Linked DNA regions of Caenorhabditis elegans. The protein of the gene in region 1 interacts with the protein of each later gene in a pairwise test. Each region holds a gene or a part of one and is shown in the gene's direction. Other genes may lie near its edges.

Region 1 (2,792 bases):
ATTAAAAGTTCACAGAAAATTACACCAATTTCTCATAAAGCCGAAATGTACCTTTACATGATTCCTAAACCGAAATATCTCGGAGCACCGATTGACGGCAACTACCGTATACCCTAGGAACATGGCATTTTTGATAACTGTCAATGAAAACCACAACAGCTGAGGAATCCAATGATCGTTTGCTGCTTCGAATAGGTTATGAACTCGGTATTTGCGTGGGCGAGCAACCAGCTCCACGTATAGGAACATAAGGAGGTCCGTGATAGCCTAAAATTCTAGGGGTTTTTTAAATTTGCTCAATGGGAAAATGGACCGATGCAGCATGATTCTAAGGCACTGTCCCAAGAAGAAACCTCTCAACTTACATGCATCCTGATAATCAAGAAAAACGACGATTTGAAAACATTTTTTCTTAATTGGTGAATAATATACAAAACCCGCAGGTACAAAAACACAGAAAACCAGCATATCGGAATAAATATCAAATGACTTATTGGGAGTAGACTTAGATTTATGGAGAGCGGCATTTTTAGGACATCAACCAAAAACACGTGTCATTCCAAGAAGATATGAAGAATGGTGGGAAAATAAGAAAAGTTGAGAGAGAAAATTTGAGAGATTGAGAGAGGGTGAGCAGGTGATTTTTGTGTTGTGTTGGGGAAAATTGGAAAAAGGAAAGTAAAGTATTAAACAAGATGGCAACAAACATTAATTTCAACGTTTGACGAGACCAGTTTGTTTCACATGATCCCGAGGAATATCATTGTTCTGACTAAAATTGTTGTGTAACTATACAAAATTCATATACAAATACAAAAATTGCGAGAACGGAATATTTTCTCATTCCCGCATCCAGGACAAGATTTTCGGAAAATTTGAATAGCCGAATATATTAGCTAACAATGTATGGGTCTCTTCATCGCTTAACACTATTTCCTCGTGGCTCGCTTCCGCAGGATACCTGCCGCGAGTCAACTTGCCTGTCAGGCGGCTAGCCCCTTCCTTGCTCTTCTCATCGTTTAGCATTTCTACTATAATTTGAATTATCCCAAATGGATAAAGTTCCTTTTCAAATCTTGAATCTACCACCTAGACAGCTGAGAAATGCTTTGAAATCGATGGATCTGTTATCTTTGTGAGTTCGAAATTAAATCCAAAACGATGAACTGTAATTTTAAATTATTTGGTAAACAAGTCTAGATTCGTTAATTCGACTAATTAAAAAATTTTGAGTAACCTTTTTGACAGAAAATGCCAGTAAAAAATTATCTATGCAAATAAAAAATGGTTTTTGTTATTTTTAGAACATGATTTATTTTCAGAATCTGTCTCTCCTTCACGTCTGGAAACTCAAAAATCCTTCGTTTTCACAGATCCATCAAACCGTGATCGTATTTTTGCGGGAATGTTTAATAACCCACATTCATTTTTGAATGGTGTACTGCCAACCGTCAGCAAATGCACTCCAACTCAATTCCGATGAGTTAATCCGAAATTGAAGGTGAATGAATTTGTGATACATTTGTATATTCCATCAACGAGTGGTTGATGAGGTCTACCTCAACAAGAACAGTTTTCGGTGGATACAAAAAGAGCTGCACGGATTGGAATTCCAATGTCTTCACTTAAAACCATTTAAAAGGAGTACTTCAAATCTGAAAATGCTGAAATCAAATGCTGAGCAAATCGTCTTTAAAGGGTATCCATTACCCGACAATTCAATTCAAACTTATCAAGAAGTTCAAGAAACCTTTCAACACAATCTTAAAATTCTTGAAATCCCATCCAACTATCCTCTAACTCTTAATGATTTATTGATCATCAATTGTTGTATTTTACGAGTCAAATGCATACTGACTCCAAACGTACTGAACTTATTCATAAAGCACTGGATGAACGGGTCCAACCCTTTATTGAAACATTTTTCGGCGAGAATATCAACAGAACTAAACCGCCATCTACGACCATTCATAAATAGACTACTAGCTGGTTTGAAATATGAGACGACAGTTCTAGAGTTTGAATTGAATGCCCAAGAAAATATTGCAGCTCAAGAAGTTTATGTAGTTCAGGGAAACGAAGAAACTCTAGCGATTATAACATTCTCTGATGAAGGTCGTTATTTCCAAATGTTTACTCAACCAGAAGAAAATTAGAGATTTTAATAATTAAGGTCTTAATAATTAAAATTTGAAGCCCAATTGAAAATTTTCTGAAATCAATAATACATATATTGATTGTTTGGCTGTCTTTTAATTTTTAACTAAATGTATGTATATCGTATTGTGTTTATCGTAACTGTATTACTGTTTTTCATGTTTAATAAATATTTGTATTGCATATTCACAATTAATACATTTCAAATTTCAAAAAAAAAAACCGAAAACAAGTTATCCCAAAAGTCCTCCAACAAGTCCTCCTCCAACACCTGGATTGACTCCAACACCGGCATTTCCGTAGGCTCCTTGGTTTCCATATCCATTTCCATACATATCTGGAAATTAGTCTTAAATTGCACCAACTCTTATAAGATAACTTACTTCCTCCAGCTGGTCCGAGTCCCAATCCAGTGTTGAGTCCGATTTGTGCAGTGGCCATAGCAATAAGGCCGAGGAGAACAATGAGATTGCAAAGGAAGCCGAACATGATTTAAAATTCAAGATAACTTGCTGATCGGTTCCTTTCCATGAGCTTATATACAGTCTCCATGTTTTGATTCACCAAACGGTTTAATCCTAGACAATCACATGATCACCATATCCTTATGAGGACAAACTTATCAAGTACGACGT
Region 2 (3,836 bases), on another chromosome or scaffold:
GAGTCTTTGTACAGACAGTTTCGAATTAGAACTTGATTCGCAGATGGTAAGTTTGCCCAGAAAAGCTTCGAAGTCAGATCATCAAATCTTGGGGTTGCCGATGAAAAATCAGCAGCTAAAAGCCGTCAATCCCCTCCAGAACCCTTGTTAGACCTTCAATGTCTAAATTCCCAGAGTCCAAGGGAGTTTTTAGACTAAAATCGATCCTCTGAATCGCCAGCACATCCATCAAGAATTCGAGCCAAGATCTCATGGTTTTCCGGGTGAACACATTCACATGGTGACCGTGCATTGATATTTTTACAAACTGAGGAATGTCAAAACTTGGCACAAAGCATCGGCATTTATTGTAGAACTTCAACCATACTCGTTTATTCCCAAATTTCATCTTGAAATTGAAACCTTTTGCAAAATTGAACCCACTCGAGTCGACTTTCAGGTGGAGTGATTTCACGATTTCTTTGGTGGCGTCGGAGCATAAGGAGAAGGCGAGTCTGGAAGTGAATAAGGTTTTAATAAGTTGGAGAAATTGTTAAATCTCATATTTTCCTGAAAAAATATAACGGAAAAATGTGTCAACTGAAAAACGTGACCTGAAAGCTTGCTAAATTTTTTTTTTCAAAAAAAAAAAAAATCAAATTTGACATAAACTCACAAATGCACAATTTCCATACTGCGAAGCACATTTATCCTTGATTTTTCCGGTAGTCGGAGTATAGGAAAAGGAAGGGGCTCACCGGCATTCATGGCAGTTTACGGAGCAAAATGAGCACACTACGAGGCTCGGGAAGCAATTAGGGGGAGGTGAGGTATTAGCCAGGTGGCTCAGGCCATCTGCCGTTTAGCTTGTTTCAAATACCAAAAGCATTCAGGGGATTCGACATAATTCGATGTGATGAATGTGAGGTAAATGTGGAACAACACTGATTTGGGTACTTTAGGGTAGGATTAACCACCAAAAGGGTCTTGGCTCCGATCAGGGGTGTGCGGAAAATCTCAAAATTTGCCGAGCTCGACAAACGGCAAATTCGGCAAATTTGCCGCACACCCCTGCCTCCGACTGGGTTGTAAATGGGTACCTTTGGCGAAAATTGACATAACTTTAGAACCTGATTAGCTACAAAAAATTAAAATATATTTCTTGAAAGTTAAATTAATGGGAACATTTTTGGTAATATTATCAAAAAAAAAATTATATTTTTTCTTTGAGATATAACAGTTTCAATATGTAAAACTACTGTTTTCAACTGAAAAACGCCAATTTTACTTCAATATTTTAAAGTTCTCAGTAGGAATCGTAAGTTTTTATGTTGTTTTTGATATGGAAAATAACATGATCTTATTTTATTTTTCTAAGTTTCATCAAAATTGGAAGCGAAAATTTTTTTTGAGAAAATTCACCAAAAATATATTTTGAAAAATTATTTCAAAAGCTTGCTATATGATTAGAAAAGCCAAAAAGAAATCAAAGAAATTTAGTACTAAATCAAAAAGTCTTGACAAAATTAAAAATTTCCAAAGAAAACTATAATCACAGATAATTTAAAGTGCATCAGAAAAGGATTTCTACCATGTTCTGTTAAAAATTAACAAAAAACCAAAAGTAAGAGGTGCACATTTACATCCCGTGTAGATCCTTTGACTTTTCAGTTTTCTCCAAACTGTTCAGGGACGACTGGTTTCTCGGAGCGAATTCTCAGTTCGATAAGAAATTCAGCAGATTGATTTGAACACATAGATTCGTTGCGGGAAAAGAGCCTTCCACCTTCCCAAGATTTCCAGCAACCTTTCCCATCTGCGCACAGTTTGTATCGATCTGCAACACCGTGTGCGCGCATAAATTGCCTAGGCTACTCTCACTCTACATTTTTGTGGGCCCCTACAATCATCTTTTTTGTTTTCTCTTCTGCTTTCTTTGTCTATTCTTGTATCCTTGCATCTTTCCAGAATTTACCGAAACAATGGACAATATTGTTACTCAAAATATTAAATTTGAAAGCGAACCAAATTACTACCTAAGAGGTTACCACCTCTTTGATATCAGTCCTTTGAACGGATTAAAATGGTAAGAAAAATGTTATTGAACGACAGATGAAACAGTATTTTTTTAGTGAGATAACTGATGAATTCGAGACTGACAAGATTCACCTGAAAATAAAGCTGGATTGGGATCAGCAAGAAATAAAGAAGATCACTGGTTTCATCCAATTGTCGTATGATGGGCATCAACTGAAGCCTATTGATTCGAACTTTGACAAACGAGGAGGAATCTGTATAATGACAGTCCCAAAATACATTAATGCATACCGCTGGTCGTTTTCGTTTGATCTAAAACTCCATCGCTACCCAGCCAAGCCACCTCAGATTTCTCATGACCTCAATCCTCAGGTCAGGTCTTATGACACAATGTTCGAGCCGTCCAGGAAGCACGATGCGGTGCTCTTAATCGGAGAGAAGAAGCTTCATGTGAACAAGGCTGTAAGTTTTAATTTGGAATCTTGCTAAGCTAAGCTTGAAAATTTCAGTTCCTCTCCTACCACTCCGACTATTTCTGTGATCTATTTGCTGAGAAATTCGATGAGAAAAACGGGATCCCCATCGAAAACGTGACCTATGAGAATTTCGGACTTCTCATGAGTATTATCTACCCTGAAGCGGCTTTCTCGAATCGTGAGTTATTCCTGATCCCTTCCAGCAACCAACTAATCTCAATTTTCAGATCAAAACGCTGAAGTCCTTCTCGAGCTGGGAAATCGTTTCAAGATCCCAGCAGTGATGCGCCACGTGGAAAATCAAATCATTCGAGACACCAAGTTCCCAAATGAACGGTTGATTTTTCTGGCAGACAAATACGAACTTCAAAAGCTATTGGCTATGGAAATCCAGAAGATGGAAAGCTTCGATCAGGCTAAGAAGTTCAAAGGATCTGATGATTACTCGCAGTTATCGGATGCGACAAAAGCCAAGATCTTGGATCGACTCATTGAGTTATCTTGATTTTTTCTTCAAGACCTGATTTGATTCTTGGAAATAAATCATTCTGTTATGTTTTTTTGAATTATTAGGTTCTTCAATTGGGCGTACATGACTTTTACAGGGCGATAATAATTGCGCGCAAACGGGAACGTGAGCGGCAGGGTTAAGCTTCTCAATAAGCATTGGTACATGATTTTATAGATCATTTTGACAAGGCAATCATGAGTTGCAAACTCGAGCAAGTCGACCAGCTCAAAAAATAGGCTCAGCACCCGGTGTACTGAGCCCCGATCTGAAAAACCAACAAGTTCTTAAAACCAGACACAGCGAAATGGGCAAAAAAAAAACGACTGGGCTTCACAGTTTGGCTATAAACAATTGAAATTTTCTTGGTTATGAGGAAACCCTCTCATCTCTTGTTTCCGTAAAAAAATTATTACATAGAATATAAACATTTATTATTTAATTTTACAAATAAAAAGAGCTCTTCTGACGCCATAAAATGAGTTTAAATTGGAACAATTGCAAGGAGAATTACTCTCCAACCATGTAGAGCATATACCACTTGGCATAAAAGAGATTGACAACAGTCAGTTGTCCATGCCAATTGAAGGTTCCTGGACCCTTACGAGCCCCATTTTTTTTCGTCCATCTGACAGCCACATCTCTGGAAGTAACCGCCAAAAAGTACGAGCATCCCTTGAACTCGTTCTTCGCAGATGAGATCACTGCCGATCGAAGGTACTCTTTCATAAGAGTTGTCAAAGTGTGCAAAAGGTTTCCTCCGCTAGTTTTCCGATCCCTGTTATTGTCCAGTATATCCCCATATTGCAAACATGTCGACTCGTTGTGCTCAAATG

Evidence for each region. The genes of interacting proteins can lie anywhere in the genome.
Region 2: the proteins of F15E6.5 (region 1) and btb-10 interact in a two-hybrid assay, tested with the Caenorhabditis elegans proteins (one large-scale study listed by BioGRID).

What each region holds. Positions count from the first base shown.
Region 1 is NC_003282.8:4,287,906-4,290,697, forward strand, and holds F15E6.5 (F-box associated domain-containing protein), read left to right. Parts: upstream 1-1,661; coding exon 1,662-2,156; downstream 2,157-2,792. Other genes in the region: srv-4 (Serpentine Receptor, class T), read right to left, coding at 52-267, 366-527; dct-7 (DAF-16/FOXO Controlled, germline Tumor affecting), read right to left, coding at 2,391-2,494, 2,541-2,646.
Region 2 is NC_003280.10:1,058,874-1,062,709, reverse strand, and holds btb-10 (BTB domain-containing protein), read left to right. Parts: upstream 1-1,907; 5' UTR 1,908-1,961; coding exon 1,962-2,065; intron 2,066-2,111; coding exon 2,112-2,478; intron 2,479-2,525; coding exon 2,526-2,670; intron 2,671-2,719; coding exon 2,720-2,997; 3' UTR 2,998-3,048; downstream 3,049-3,836.